Callithrix jacchus: one gene and its partners. The protein of the gene in region 1 interacts with the protein of each later gene in a biochemical or structural test. Links are inferred from orthologs where the notes say so. Each region holds a gene or a part of one and is shown in the gene's direction. Other genes may lie near its edges.

Region 1 (3,936 bases):
TCCCTGCAGCATGCGTTATCCCCATCCGTGGGCAAGTGGGTTTTTATTTCATCTGGAGCATAAGAGGGTGAAGAAACCCTGGTCAGTGTGTTTCTCCCAGAGCGGGACCATGACCAAGGCAGCAACCATGACATCCCACTCCCGTGCCCACCAGCTTTGAACCTTTGCAGTGAGTCCTGGGCCAGTGACCCTTGCTCTGTAAGTGATTCTGGAAGCAAGATCTGGATGTGCTCCTGAGCTCTGGTGGAGCCCGTGGATGGCAGCCAGGAGCTGATGGAGTTGCCAGCTTGCAGGTCGGGCTTCTGGAGGAAATGGGTGTGCAGCACCCAGGTCCTTGGCGCACCTGCCATTACCATCCTAACCTTTAGCTGTTGCTGCTTTTCTGTCCCCTAAAGCCAGATTTTACCTTTTTCCCACCACAGGGAGAAAGAGGCCCCAGAAGCCAGTCTAAAGGGGGCCCTGGCAAGGCCATGTGGAGTAGAGGCCTCTGGACATCCCAATTTGCAGGAGCGCCTTGGCGCTGTGCAGGCCACACACACACAGCACAGAGGAGGAAGGGCAGTTAGTAGGTGCTCAGGGTGGGGCACCCCCAGGGCAGGGAGGCCACACTGTGGCCCAAAAGGAAACTTGCTGCGCATCTACCGGTCCTGCAAAACTGTCCAGTTTCCAAAAACGTACTGCTGACTGGGGCAGTAGGTTTCCCATGTAGTATATGATCCTGCATTTCCTAAGGAGAGAAGAATCACAGGGAGCTTAGTGGCAAGGGAGTTGAGTTAAATGCGGTCATGAGCCATTCACAAGCAGACATTTGGGTCGAGGGTGTTTTCAAGACCCTTTGGGGACCGAGTCAAGGATGCCTGATCTGATTGCCTCTGTGGCCTTCCAGGGAGTCAGATTCGCACAGAAAAAGCTCATGGACATGAACTCATGCCCACAGCTCGACTTTGCTCTTTATAAAGCCTAGGCTCATAGGCGGGGCCCTCAGGAGAAGTGGTGCATCTGAGCACACCTGGGAGAGGACTGGCAGGCAGACACATTCCCGTCCCCTTAGCCAGCTCTGCCTTCCTCAGATGGCACCGGATGGGGGTCCCGGCCCCACCCAAGTCGGACCCCTGTGAGTTTCCTCAGACCCCTTTCTCTGCAGGGTGCTGGTGGATGCTGCTGTGGTGGCAAAGGACACGGTGGTGTGCAGCTTTGAAAACGAAAACACGGAGTGGTGCCTGGCTGTCTGGAGGGGCTGGGGCGCCAGGGAGTTTGACATTTTCTACCAGTCCTACGAGGAGTTGGGCCGGCTGGAGGCTTGCACACGCAAGAGAAGGTAATTCCTGTGGAATGACAGTCACGCGTGCAGAGCTGGCTGGTACCGGGCTGCAGCCTGACCCCTCTGCCATCAGCCTCTAGTTCTCCAAGGCCCTAGAAGACAGATGGAGTTCACCATTGAACTCCTCGCTGCTAAGAAGTGCTGAGAAGTGACCTGCCTGGTGGTGGTGGTTCCAGGGTTCTCCGGTTTTCTGGAACAGAGTTATCTGAATACCCCATACCCCGACTGCTGATTTTACAGCCCCAGGGAAGACAGTGGGATCTGGCTGGGAGGGGCCTCCTCTGGCCTCCTCCATCAGTCTCCTGGAGCAAGGGTGGAGGATCCTATTCTGAGCTGGCTCAAACAAAGACGGGCCAGGCCTTCCTTCCATCCCCAGGTCTCAGATGGAATTACACTAGGGGCCCTCTGTTGGGAAGCAGTTGAGGTAGAGCAGGAGGTGGGGGCTGTGACCCCTGCCCTTTCCCCCCTGGAGACCCCAGGCTCTCAGCACATTTCACAAGCTCCTGAGGCCCCCAGGCCTGGGCCAGCTTGGGCAAGCCAAGATCAGATGTCTCTGTGTTCAGGAAGGTCTCTGTGTGGGAAAGCCCTCCGAGGACCCTGGGTGAGTAGTGCTGCCCCCATCCAGAGAATGAATGAGTTCCTTTAAGTTCACAGCCAGAAAACCCAGGGTTCCATAGTACAAGGGCACCAGCTCAGCCTTTACATTCTTCTCCAGCGACAAAAGGAAGGAGAAACTCAATCAGCAGTACTTGAGAAAGGGCCTTGTGTTTACAGCTTTGTGAAGTAAATTTGGACGCAGCTGGAGCACAAACCCTGTTTGTTTGCACATAATAATCTTGTTTATCACTTTAAAAACTTCAGTAATATCTCAGCGGTCAGGCTTCTGGTTGTGAAATCAGATTGTATGGGATTTATACCAAATTATGTATTTGCTAAACATTCACTCCACACGTGTACAGCAGAGTACGAAAAGAAAAACTGTCAACAGGATTTACGGATACAATAGCAAATATGTTATAAATTATGCGCGTGCATGCATTACGCTCAGGCACACCACATAGGCACACGCACGTGCAAACAGAGCCACTTTTTTGTCCAGAGTTACCGTTTGGGGCTCCTTCAATCAGAACGCAAGTTTGAATAGAGATCATACTCCAGCTGAAGTTTCTTGACCCTTTTCTAAAATTATAAAGATCAAACTGTGTATTTGCTGGAGATGCAGGGAGATGAGGCTCTTGTAACCTGAAAATAAACAGATTCTTTCAAGAATGAAGCTGTAGCCTCTGTCTTTCGAGCGCTTATGACCACAGCACAGGCTCAGCCCCTGCCGGACCCACTCGCTGGCTGGGAGTAACGGGCAGCCCCTCCTCGCCCACTGTGCCTGCATGCAGGTGGTCCCTGAGCAGCTTCCATGGGTGGAGACCCTGCTCTGTCAGTCACAGCCCTGGAAAAAACAACAATTCCCACTTTTTTTTCTTTTTACCAGTCTGGGCACCAAGTCCCAGGGGGCTGAGGGTCTGTGCTTACTGCCCTCCTCCCTGCCATTCTTTCACCCTCGTCCCACAGGATGGCTGCAGGGGACCAATTCTCCCTTTCCTCTCATTTCCAGTGCACCACAGCTGCCCAGTTCACCCCCAAATGCAAGCCAGATTCTGTCTGCCCCACGTCCCAAGCTTGTACTTGGCATCACCTGAAGCCACACTGCTTTGTAGGCACCAAACTCGCCCTCTCCTACTCCAGGAAAAGCCCAGCCCCGGGCCTCACAGAGCCAGGGGAAGGGATCTCTTCACACCACACTTAGAAATCGTATGGGCCTCCAGTCCCAGCTACCCAGGAGCCAAGGCAGGAGGATCCACGGAGCTCGGGAGCTGGAGGTTGCAGTGAGCTATGATCACACCAGCTTTCTAGCCTGGGTGACACAGCAAGACCCAACTCTTAAAAAAAATCATACAGGAAATGACTAATGAACTCGACTCCATGAAACTGAAACTTACATGGAAAAATTAGTCCAAAGCTTGAAAGTATCGATTGAGGAAGAAAAAAATATTTGCAACACAAATGAGAGACCAAGAGCTCACTTACCTTTATTAGAGAGAACATAAACTCAATAAGAAATAGAAAACCCAAAAGGCAAACAGGTTAAGGGCATGGGCAGCAATTGAATTACAAAGAAACAGACCCTTAAACATCAATGCTTGACCTCACCAGACAGCAAGGAAACAGACCTGAAGACTTGAAGACAGCAGTAAAATGTCACTTACCACCCTCGGATTGGCAGAGATTAACCGGCCAGCAACTCCTTCTTGAATACCTACTAAGTGTCAGGCACTGTCACTGGACACACAGACAAGAATCTTTGTGGGGTTTTTTTGCATGTTTGTTTTTGTTTTTGAGACACAGTCTTGCTCTGTCACCCAGGCTGGATTGCAATGACACCATGGTCTCAGCTCACGGCAACCTCTGCCTCCCAGGTTCGAGCGATTCTCCTGTCTGCCTCAGCTTCCCGAGTAACTGGGACTACAGGCACGTGCCACCACACCTGGCTAATTTTTACCATGTTAGCCAGGCTGGTCTCGAACTCTTGACTTCAGATGATCCTCCCGTCTCGGCCTCCC
Region 2 (5,919 bases), on another chromosome or scaffold:
ATAAAGGAAGTCTCACGTTCTGTCTGGATGTGCACTGAGGGTGCGCCCAGCATGGCAGTGGGCATATTCTCCCAAGATTGAAGCTCAGCTTGAGGGGCCACCTGCCCTCCAGGACCAGGAAAGGCCTCCCTGGCTTAGCACAGTTGCATGCCCACCCGGCAAGGGTCCCAGGCCTGCTCTGTCCCTGCAGCCCTGGCTGGCTCTACCAGCTTCCGTGGTCCTGGCCACCTTGGTTAGGGGTGCAGGCAGACAGCACAGACCACATCCCATCACCTCCCTTGGCCACATCTGCTGGCCTGGGGGACAGTTTAGTCTCACTTCCCAGATCCCTATTCTTGTTCTCCAGGGAGAGGAATCACAGGGGCTGGAGGTATGACAGGCTCTGGACAGGCCCTGTGCCCAGTGCTGTCTGCCCACCAGTGCCTGGCTCAGCCTGGTACAGCGCCCTGCCCTGTTCCTCTGTGAGGCTCTGCTTTCATTTCACCTTACACATGAGGAAACTGAGGCTCAACCAGGTAAAATAATTTGGCCAAAAAAACAGCTCACCCAGGAACTTTGGCCCCAAGCTGTAATGCCAGCCATGGGGCTTGGAGGTTAGGAAGGGATCTGACTTGTAACAGATTGGCCTGTGGGAGAAACACTCCTATCAGCTGGGGCCCAGGAAATCCACACACACAGTTAGAGCCCCCAATAAAATCAGCCAGCTTCGGCTGTGTGTGTGTGTGTGTATTTCTTTTTGAGACAGAATTTTTTTTTTTTTTTTCCAGAGTTTGGGTCTTGTTGCCCAGTCTGGAATGCAATGGCGTGATCTCTGCTCACAGCAACCTCTGCCTCCTGCTGGCCCTGTATTTTTATTCCTGTTTAAAACTAAGAAAACAGTCATGCACGGTGGCTCACGCCTGTAGTCTTAGCACTTTGGGAGGCTGAGGTGGACGGATCACGACGACATGAGCTCGAGACCAGCCTGATCAACATGGTGAAACCCTGTCTCTACTAAAAATGAGCCAGGTGTGGTGGCACATGCCTGTAATCCCAGCTACTCGGGGACTGAGGGAGGAGAATTGCTTGAACCCAGGAGGCAGAGGTTGTAGCAAGCCAAGATTGTGCCACTGTACTCCAGCCTGGGTGACAGAGTGAGACTCCATCTCAAAAAAATAATAAAAAATAAAACAGGCACAAAGAGGGTCAGGAATTTCCCCTGGTCACATAGCCAGCAGTAAGAAAGCTAATGTGTAGCACTCAGGACAACTGTGGTTCTCCTGGTTCCACAGGGGCTTACACTCCCTATCATGGGAAGACTGGGTTGTCATCCATACAGGAACACTTGGAAATGAAAGCCCCCATCAAAACCCTAACCCAGGGCAGGCACAGTGGCTCACGCCTGTAACCCCAGTACTTTTGGAGGCCGGGGCAGGTGGATCAGTTAAGGTCAGGAGTTGGAAACCAGCCTGGCCAACATGGTGAAACCCCCTCTGTACTATGTAGCGTGGCATGGTGCTGCATGCCTGTAGTCCCAGATACTTGGGAGCCTGGGAGTTGGAGGCTGCAGTGAGCCGAGACTACACCAGTGCACTGCAGCATGGGCGACAGAGCAAGACTCTTCTCAGAAAATAAAACCCTCACCCACCCTGGGAGGGGCGGGGCCGGCCCACCAGCGCTGTTTCCTGGGCTCAGGAGGCTGCTGGCACCCGTCTTCTCTGTGCCCGCCTGGCCCGAGGTCCCCAACCTCGCGCATAGGAAGCTGTGCCGTCCGCCCACTGAACCGAGCCCCGTCTCAGCCTCCTCTATTTCATCTGTTTTTCATTTTTTTGAGACGGTCTGGTCCAGTCCCCCAGGCTGGAGTGGAGTGGCGCGATCTCGGCTCACGGCGGCCTCAGCCTTCGGAGTAGCTGGGATCGCAGGCAACGTTTTGTATTTTTAGTAGAGACGGTTTCACCATGTTGCCCAGGCTGGTCTGGAAACTGACCTCAGGTGATCCGCCCGCCTCTGCCTCCCCGGGTGCTGGGATTACAGGCGTGAGCACCGCGTCCGACCCTTAGATCGTGGTAAACGCGGCGGCGTGTCCTACAACTGCTCAGAAGCCCTGTCCCTAAGGAGGCCGCGTCCGTCACCGGTGCGCGAGGCGGCGGCGGCTCCAGGCCACGGCAGAGGCCGCCATCGACGGCCAGATCACTCGACTACGGTGACACGAAAAGAACCAACGAGCAGCGCCCGGGACGCAGCTGAAACGCTCCAGGCCCGGAGCGGGGACAGGCCCTGGCGGCGGTACCCGGCGGGCAGAGCGCGGCTGCGGGGTCCGGGCCACACGGATGGGCAAGGCCTGCCAGGACCGAGTGTCGCCCGCTGCGCGCCCCTTCCCCGGCATCAAACCCCGTCATCCCCGCGGGGCACAGGTGCCTAGCGCTCCCAAAACCTGACCCGGACCCGCCAGAGACCGCCCACACGCCACGGCTGAGGCGGGGAACTTCCGGAGAGCCGCAACGCGCAGGCGCCGTACGACAGGCCCCGCCCCCGCCGCTCGCGCCAGGAGTGCGCAGGCGCCGCAGCCAGCGCCCCCCGACGCCAGGAGCGCGCAGGCGCGCGGTCCGCTGAGTTTTCTGCGCTTCCTTCTCTCTCTCTCCAGACGTCGTGGTCGTTGGGTCCTATGTCGCGCCGGGCCCTCAGGAGGCTGAGGGGGGAACAGCGCGGCCAGGAGCCCCTCGGGCCCGGCGCCCTGCAGTTCGACCTCCGTGATGACGATGACGCGGAAGAAGAAGGGCTCAAGCGGGAGCTGGGTGGCCGGCGCCCCGGGGAGGCAGGGAAGGAGGGCGTCCGAGTCAACAACCGGTTCGAGCTGGTGAGGATCGCGGCGGCCGGGGTGGGGGCGGGGTGGGCCGTGACGTCGCGGGGCGTGGCGAGCGTCCAGTCTGGTCGGGGAACGGGGGTCGTGATACCAGGGGTGGATCGGGTGACGTGGGTCCCGGCTGCAGTGGGGAGGGCGGGGCCGTGCGTCGGGCCGGGGCGATGGGGGTGGGCGGTGGCGTGAGGTCGAGATAGCTGGACGCAGAGTTACATTGGGTTCGAACCCCAGTGAGGTGGGCGGGATCATACTACCGTCATGGGGCGGGGCCATACCGTCGGAGCCGGGCGACCGAATGACGGGGGTAAGCGGGGCCCGGGCTGTGAAGGGGGTGCGGCCATGATGCGAGGGGCGTGGTCAACGTCCGTGGGGCGGGGCCACGACGTAGGCGGGGTTAAACGGGGGTTCTGGCCAGCGGAGCGAGGGTGGGGCCTTGACACTAAAGTGCGTGGCCAAGGACATGGGGGAGAGGTGATGGCGTGGGCTGGGTTAACTGGGGACTGGGGCCACCGTGGGGGTGAGGCCATGGGGTAGGGGTAGGGGTGGGGCGCAGCAGTGCAGTGGGTCTTCTCCGAACTTGAAGGGCCTTCTCTTGGTTCTAGGGTTGAGCACTCTCGGTCAATCCTCACAACAACCCTGCCTAACCCAAGGCCTCCTGTCTTGCTCCTCGCTGTATCTCAGGCTGCGTGTTTCTGGCACAGAGTAAATGGTTTGCCCATGCGGTCCTGTGAGGCTTTGTCTTAAGTCCTGGCCTTGGTGTGTAACTTGGCCTGTGCGGGCTCTGCAGTCCTCCCACCTCAACCTCCTGAGTAGCTGGGACTACAGGTGCATGTCACCATGCCCAGCTAATTTTTTTTTTTTTTTTTTGTAGATTTGAGGTTTCGCCTTGTTGCCCAGGCTGGTCTAGAATTCCGGGGCTCAAACATCTGTCCACCTCAGCCTCACAAAGTGCTGGACTACAGTTCTGAGTCACCATGCTTGGCTGACTGCCTTTCTGACATCAATTCCAACTTCAGGGTCCCCAAGACCACCCTCAAGTTTCAGTAATTGGCTAGAATCACAGCAGTTACTGAAAACTTTTTTTTTTTTTTTTTTTTCCTGAGATGGAGTCTTGCTGTTGCCCAGGCTGGAGTGCTGGCACAGTGCTAGCTCACTGCAGCCTTGAACTCCTGGGCTCAAAGATTCCTCTCACCTGGCTTCTCAAAGTGTTGGCATTATAGGCGAGCCACTGTGCTCAGCTCCGTAAGTCCTTTTTTTTTTTTTTTTGAGATGGAGTCTTGCTCTGTTGCCAGGCTGGAGTGCAGAAATGCGATCTTGGCTCACTGCAACCTCCACCACCCGGGTTCCAGTGATTCTCCTGCATCAGTCTCCTGAGTAGTTGGGATTACAGCTGTGCGCCACCACGCCCGGCTAATTTTTGTACTTTTAGTAAAGACAGGGTTTCACCATGTTGACCAGGAAGGTCTCCTGACCTTGCGATCCGCCTGCTTTTACCTCCCAAAGTGTTGGGATTACAGGCGTGAGCCATGGAGCCTGGCCCCCCCATAAGTCGTTTTAATTTTGTCAATATAATTTGTCAAAAATTGTATCACATTATTTTATTTTACACTTTGTTAGTGAAATTCAGCAGGTAGCTATGTATTTGTTGATTTGTTGGCCTTTTATAGTCTCTTTGTGACAACCCTTTTATATCCTTTGCTTTTTTATAGAGAGTTTAAAAAGTCTTTATGTTCGTGAAAGCTCACTACCGATTCTCTTTAACGTATTTTCTCAGTTTGCATTTGTTCTTTCACTTCCTTAATTTCTGCCGAAAGATACTGGAGCCGCTTTTGTAACTGTTACAAGTCGGTCTCTCTGTGATGTCTTCACATAGATCTTTCCTGATGTGACTTTATGCAGAGTCTTGTCTTGTTTTTTTTTTGTTACAGACAGGGTCTCTCTGTGTTGCCTAGGCAGGTTGCTGGTCTTGAACACCTGGGCTCAAGTGACCCGCCTGCTGCGGCCTCCTGAGTAGCTGGGACTATGGTATACCATACTGTGGCCAGCTTGTTCTTTTAGTGCTTTTGTTTTTCATTTAAATATTTAATCTTCTTGGCATTTATGTTTGTGTTGGTGGGAATTTGGAAAAAGTGTGGCTTGTAAGTTGATGGAATAAGAGTCCCTAAGGTCAGAAACCACATTAACCCTTGTGGACTTCCTGGAGTGAGTTTGGAGTGTCAGTAACACTGACAGCCTGCGTGGATGAGTGACTGCTCACCGTGCTTGTGTTCTCAGCCATGTCAAGGAGTTTTATCCCATGGTACACGTCAGTCCCATTTTAAGCATTCTATATTTTTTTGCCTTTATAACTCACATTTGGAAATAATACAATGGAAATGTTTATTGGTGTTCTGCTGTGAAATTAGCTCGTAAGAAACAAGTGTGAGAGACATTAAACAGACACTTAGAACTGAATGGTTCTAAATGTGAATACTTTGGTGAGAGACACGGTGTGTCTCTTTTTTAAAAAAAAAAATTATTTATTTTTTGTTAGTTCATGTCTTTTATTAACTGTTACTTGTCTTCTGGTTTGTTGAAGCGGTAAGACAACATTTGCCACAATAATGTCTGTCAAAGTGGCTTGCACCACGTTCATCAGAAGGGCATTCTCTACAAAGGTGACTAATTCTGCCACTCTCATCCCCCTTACGATATTTCAGGACAGCCAGCCTAAACTTCTTTCTCTTGCGCTTATTCTTCGTGGGGTGGCGTAAGACTCCTTTTTCCTTTCCTAGCACCACCTCTCAACACAAGACAAGAGTAGTCTCCTTCTGAACGTTGTAGTCAGACAAAGTACGTCCATCTTCCAGTTGCTTGCCAGCAAAGATCAGTCTTTGCTGATTGGGAGGAATTCCTTCCTTATCATGAATCTTGGCCTTTATATTTTCTGTTGTATCCGAGGGTTCCTCGAGGGTGATGGTCTTCCCCGTAAGGGTTTTCATGAAAATCTGCATTTTGGTGGCGGCCCTACCTGAGGTGCAGATGGCGGATCAAAAAGGAAGCAAAAATTTATTTTTTTATTTAGAGACAAGATCTCCTTA
Region 3 (5,882 bases), on another chromosome or scaffold:
GTGTTCTAACATACCCCTTGTTTGGATATATGATGTTTTGTTTGCCCGTTTATGAGTTGATGGACAACTGGCTTTTTCCCACCTTTTGGCTGTTATGAAAAAGTTGCTATGAACGTATTTAGCAACATTATTCATAACAAGTTTATGAAAGTTTTCGTGGACATTTGTCTTCAGTTCTCTCGGGTGTACGCTGAAGAGTGGAATTGCTGTTTGACCTTTTGAGGAAAGCACAGACTGTTTTCCACAGCGACTGCTACACTTCCACTCCCGCCGGCAGCGTGCCAGTGTCCCACGCTCACATCCCCCACAGTGCCGATGGTTGCTGGGCTTATGGCAGCCAGCGCCGTAGGTGCGACATTCTATCGCTATGGTTTCAGAGCTTGTCTGACATGGATGCTCTTCACTGGAGGAATGTCTGTTCAGTTCTCTCGCTAACTTGGTAGTGTCCTTGCAGACAAAAGTTTTAAGCTTCCCTTCGTTGCTTGTGAATTACGTGATGGAGGACAGGAGCCACCCAACCTCTTGGTTGTTAGGAAACCTCTTGGCAGGCACGGTGGATCACTCCTGTAGTCCCAGCACTTTGGGAGGCCGAGGCGGTAGATCACTTGAGGTCAGGAGTTCAAGAACTGCCTGGCCAACATGGCGAAACCCCCAACTCTACTGAAAAACTACAAATATTAACCAGGCATGGTGGTGCGTGCCTGTAGTCCCAACTACTCAGAAGTCTGGGGCAGGAGAAACACTTGAGCCCGGGAGTGCAAGCTACAATGAGCCAAGATCACAGCACTGCGCTCCAGCCTGGGTGACAGCGAGACAGAAAAGAAAGAAAGAAAGGGAGGGAGGGAGGAAGGAAGAAAAAGAGACCCCTCTTTTCTGTTTGAGCTGTTTCATTTTGGGCCTCTCTGTCCCAGAGGTTTAACCTACACTAATACAGAGCATCTTTTAGTAAAGGTTTGTTGGTTATTTCTTTCTGCTTACACGAGATGTCTTTATTTCACCCTCAGTCTTGAAATGAAATCTTGGTGTGTGTTCATTTTTGGTTTGAACTGAATTATTTTCTGGAACATAGTGAGGAGGAGAACAGGGTCTGGAGGCCAGGAACCTAGGGGCAATTCAGGCTGACTCCCTAGAACTCAATCAAATGGAAACACCAGCTGTGACAGGAAATGTCCTCTCCATTTATATAGGGTGTACACCAAGGAACCAGTGAAAACTCCTAGAGGGTATTTAAACCCCCCAAAAAGCTGTGTAACGGGGCCCTTAGCCCCTACTCTCGGCTGCACACACACTGTGAAGTTACTTTTTTTTTTTGAGACGGAGTTTCGCTCTTGTTACCCAGGCTGGAGTGCAATGGCACGAACTCGGCTCACCGCAACCTCCGCCTCCTGGGTTCAGGCAATTCTCCTGCCTCAGCCTCCTGAGTAGCTGGGATTACTGGCTTGAGCCACGGTGCCTGGCCATTTTTTTTTTTTAACATGGAACACTTCATTAATTTTCAGGTCATGCTTGCACAGGAACCATGCCAATCTCTGTGTCATTCCAATTTCAGCATATGTGCTGCCAAAGCAAGCACTCTTTTTTTCTTTTATTTTTTGAGATGAAGTCTTGCTCTGTTGCCCAGGCTGGAGTGTAGTGGTGTGATCTCAGCTCGTCGCAACCTCTACCTCCCGGATTCAACCGATTCTCCTGCCTCAGCCTCCCAAGTAGCTGGGACTGCAGGCGTGCCCCACCACACGCAGCGAATTTTTTGAATTTTTAGTAGAGAGGGGGTTTCACCACGTTGGCCAGGCTGGTCTGGAACTCCTGACCTCAGGTGATCTGTCCACCTCGGCCTTCCAAAGTGCTGGGATTACGGGCGAGAGCCACCGCACCCCGCCACACTGTCATGTTCCTATAAATCTGTTTTCGCTGCTTCAGTCTTTCCTTGCTTCGATGTGCGTTTTGTCCAGTTCTTTGCTGAAGACGTCAGGAACCTGGGCAGCCTTCGCCGGTCACAGCAGCAGTTCGCTTTCCATTTGTAGATGTTTTACGTCCACCCTGGCTTTTGCAGAATCCGGGCAAGGACACAAAGTAGATGCTCGACGATACTGGTCTAGATATTGAAAAGTTATAAATAAAATAATGGATCAAAATTGCACTGATTGTTTAAATGTGCTTAAGTCCTATGTACCTGAAAATGAAACTCTTGCTCATGTGGCGTCAATGGCCAGGCCGCTGCCACCGTCCCGCGCCGGGCGCTGCAGACGCGGACCCGGGCAGGCGCCGCCATTGCCCCGCATCAGCGCGGTCTCCCCGCGGCCGGCCGGCACCCCGACGGCCTGGGCGGAGGCGCGGGAGAAGGCGGAGGAGCCTGGAGGGTGCTGGGCCCAGGACGAGGACCCAGGTGCGCCCTTAGATCCGCCAGCGGGCGCGGCGCTGGGGGCGGGGCCTGCAGGAGGACGCCCCGCCCACTCCGCCCGGGCCGATCTCGCGATGCCCTCCTGGTCTCGCGGCACCGGCCTGTGGGCGGGGCGAGCCCTGAGTGGTGAGGCGCGGGGGCGGCTCCCGGGCCGGGCGAATAGTGGAGAGAGCCATGGCCGCTCTTCGTGTCCTGCTGCCCCGCGTCCGCGGCCCACTGAGGCCCCCGATCCACAGCTCGGTGTGGCGTCCCTTCGCCTCGGGTGAGTGCCCGGTGACAGCCGGCGACCCGGATCCCCTCCGACTCCGACCTGCACCCCCGGCCAGACCTCAGACCGCACCCCCTCCCGCCGGACCCCACATCCCCACCTAACCCCGACCCTCACCCCTCCCGCCGGACCCCGCACCCCCACCTGACCCCGACCCTCATCCCCCTCCCGCCTGATCCCGCACCCCCACCTGACCCCCTCACCCCTCCCGCCGGACCCCACATCCCCACCTGACCCCGACCCTCATCCCCCTCCCGCCTGATCCCGACCCTCTCCCCTCCCGCCGGACCCCGCACCCCCACCTGACCCTGACCCTCATCCCCCTCCCGCCTGACCCCGCACCCCCACCTAACCCCGACCCTCTCCCCTCCCACCTGACCCCACACCCCCACCTGATCCCGACCCTCATCCCCCTCCCGCCTGACCCCACATCCCCACCTGACCCCGACCCTCACCCCTCCCGCCTGACCCCGCACCCCTACCAGACCCCGACCCTCATCCCCCTCCCGCCTGATCCCGCACCCCCACCTGACCCCCTCACCCCTCCCGCCGGACCCCACATCCCCCACCTGATCCCGACCCTCTCCCCTCCCGCCTGACCCCGCACCCCCACCTAACCCCGACCCTCTCCCCTCCCACCTGACCCCACACCCCCACCTGATCCCGACCCTCATCCCCCTCCCGCCTGACCCCACATCCCCACCTGACCCCGACCCTCACCCCTCCCGCCTGACCCCGCACCCCTACCAGACCCCGACCCTCATCCCCCTCCCGCCTGATCCCGCACCCCCACCTGACCCCCTCACCCCTCCCGCCGGACCCCACATCCCCCACCTGATCCCGACCCTCTCCCCTCCCGCCTGACCCCGCACCCCCACCTAACCCCGACCCTCTCCCCTCCCACCTGACCCCACACCCCCACCTGATCCCGACCCTCATCCCCCTCCCGCCTGACCCCACATCCCCACCTGACCCCGACCCTCACCCCTCCCGCCTGACCCCGCACCCCTACCAGACCCCGACCCTCTCCCCTCCTGCCTGACCCCGCACCCCCACCTGATCCCGACCCTCATCCCCCTCCACCCTGACCCCACACCCCCACCTGATCCCGACCCTCATCCCCCTCCACCCTGACCCCACACCCCCACCTGATCCCGACCCTCATCCCCCTCCCGCCTGACCCCACATCCCCACCTGACCCCGACCCTCACCCCTCCCGCCTGACCCCGCACCCCCACCTGACCCCGACCCTCATCCCCCTCCCGCCTGATCCCGACCCTCTCCCCTCCCGCCGGACCCCGCACCCCCACCTGACCCCGACCCTCAACCCCCTCCCGCCTGACCCCGCACCCCTACCAGACCCCGACCCACACCCCTCCCCCTGACCCCGCACCCCCACCTGACCCCGACCCTCATCCCCCTCCCGCCTGATCCCGCACTCCCACCTGACCCCCTCACTCCTCCCGCCTGATCCCGCACCCCCTACCTGACCCCGACCCTCATCCCCCTCCCGCCGGACCCCACATCCCCACCTGATCCCGACCCTCTCCCCTCCCGCCTGACCCCGCACCCCCACCTGATCCCGACCCTCATCCTCCTCCCGCCTGACCCCGCACCCCTACCAGACCCCGACCCGCACCCCTCCCCCTGACCCCGCACCCCCACCTAACCCCGACCCTCTCCCCTCCCACCTGACCCCACACCCCCACCTGATCCCAACCCTCATCCCCCTCCCGCCTGACCCCACATCCCCACCTGACCCCGACCCTCACCCCTCCCGCCTGACCCCGCACCCCTACCAGACCCCGACCCTCTCCCCTCCTGCCTGACCCCGCACCCCCACCTGATCCCGACCCTCATCCCCCTCCACCCTGACCCCACACCCCCACCTGATCCCGACCCTCATCCCCCTCCCCCCTGACCCCACACCCCCACCTGATCCCGACCCTCATCCCCCTCCCGCCTGACCCCACATCCCCGCCTGACCCCACATCCCCACCTGACCCCGACCCTCACCCCTCCCGCCTGACCCCGCACCTTCACCTGACCCCGACCTGCAGCAAGGAGCTGGCGCTCTGTCCTGTTTGAGGCTTACCCTCGATTGTTGGCATTTGTCGAAGGAGGGTGCTTCCTGGTGCCTTGTCTCAGCAGAGTCCAGGGCCGTCTCCAGTGCAGTGTCCTGGGAACAGCTGACCACGGCCTCTTGGGAGAAGGAGTGTGGCTCTGGGCTATGTTCTGTGCTGGGGATTTTTCTTCAGGACATGCTCAAACACACGTGAAAACAGAGAGAACCGTACCAAGGCCACCATATAATCATGTGGCTGAGAGCTACACCTGGAGCCACTGAGCACTGCTCAGGGAGCCCTCGGAGGGCCTCTTGGGGTCACACTCTATCCGCTGATGGGGCCACATCCCTTCTAGAAGGGAGCATCAGGAAATAATCACAATGTGAAATGATGACGCTGCTTCCTGATAGGCCAAGACCAGCCCCCACTCTCCTCAGTTTGATCCCTGTGTGAACAGATCCCTCTCTGCCCTCTCGCCCGTTCTCTTCAGTTTGATCCCTGTGTGAACAGATCCCCCCTCTGCCCTCTCGCCCGCTCGCCTCAGTTTGATCCCTGTGTGAACAGATCCCCCTCTGCCCTCTCGCCCGCTCTCCTCAGTTTGATCCCTGTGTGAACAGATCCCCTCTCTGCCCTCTCGCCCGCTCTCCTCAGTTTGATCCCTATGTGAACAGATCCCCCCTGTGCCCTCTCGCCCGCTCTCCTCAGCTTGATCCCTGTGTGAACAGATCCCCCTGTGCCCTCTCGCCCGCTCTCCTCAGTTTGATCCCTGTGTGAACAGATCCCCCTGTGCCCTCTCGCCCGCTCTCCTCAGTTTGATCCCTGTGTGAACAGATCCCCTCTCTGCCCTCTCGCCCGCTCTCCTCAGTTTGATCCCTGTGTGAACAGATCCCCCTCTGCCCTCTCGCCCGCTCTCCTCAGTTTGATCCCTGTGTGAACAGATCCCCCTCTGCCCTCTCGCCCGCTCTCCTCAGTTTGATCCCTGTGTGAACAGATCCCCCTCTGCCCTCTTGCCCGCTCTCCTCAGTTTGATCCCTGTGTGAACAGATCCCCCTCTGCCCTCTCGCCCGCTCTCCTCAGTTTGATCCCTGTGTGAACAGATCCCCCCTCTGCCCTCTCGCCCGCTCTCTTCAGTTTGATCCCTGTGTGAACA

Evidence for each region. The genes of interacting proteins can lie anywhere in the genome.
Region 2: the proteins of LRRK1 (region 1) and TCF25 form a complex in vitro, tested with the Homo sapiens proteins (2 studies listed by BioGRID and IntAct, with this or other methods). The link is inferred for Callithrix jacchus from reciprocal best matches to the Homo sapiens genes LRRK1 and TCF25.
Region 3: the proteins of LRRK1 (region 1) and ECHS1 form a complex in vitro, tested with the Homo sapiens proteins (2 studies listed by BioGRID and IntAct, with this or other methods). The link is inferred for Callithrix jacchus from reciprocal best matches to the Homo sapiens genes LRRK1 and ECHS1.

What each region holds. Positions count from the first base shown.
Region 1 is NC_133507.1:8,918,359-8,922,294, reverse strand, and holds part of LRRK1 (leucine-rich repeat serine/threonine-protein kinase 1), read left to right. Parts: intron 1-1,144; coding exon 1,145-1,318; coding exon of another isoform or gene 1,319-1,322; exon of another isoform or gene 1,323-2,587; intron 2,588-2,930; coding exon of another isoform or gene 2,931-3,015; exon of another isoform or gene 3,016-3,220; intron 3,221-3,529; coding exon 3,530-3,936.
Region 2 is NC_133521.1:47,506,052-47,511,970, forward strand, and holds the start of TCF25 (ribosome quality control complex subunit TCF25), read left to right. Parts: upstream 1-2,592; 5' UTR 2,593-2,644; coding exon 2,645-2,836; intron 2,837-2,903; exon of another isoform or gene 2,904-3,134; coding exon of another isoform or gene 3,135-3,143; intron 3,144-5,919. UniProt on the Homo sapiens protein: Component of the ribosome quality control complex (RQC), a ribosome-associated complex that mediates ubiquitination and extraction of incompletely synthesized nascent chains for proteasomal degradation.
Region 3 is NC_133513.1:126,692,490-126,698,371, reverse strand, and holds the start of ECHS1 (enoyl-CoA hydratase, mitochondrial), read left to right. Parts: upstream 1-2,555; 5' UTR 2,556-2,572; coding exon 2,573-2,660; intron 2,661-5,882. UniProt on the Homo sapiens protein: Converts unsaturated trans-2-enoyl-CoA species ((2E)-enoyl-CoA) to the corresponding (3S)-3hydroxyacyl-CoA species through addition of a water molecule to the double bond.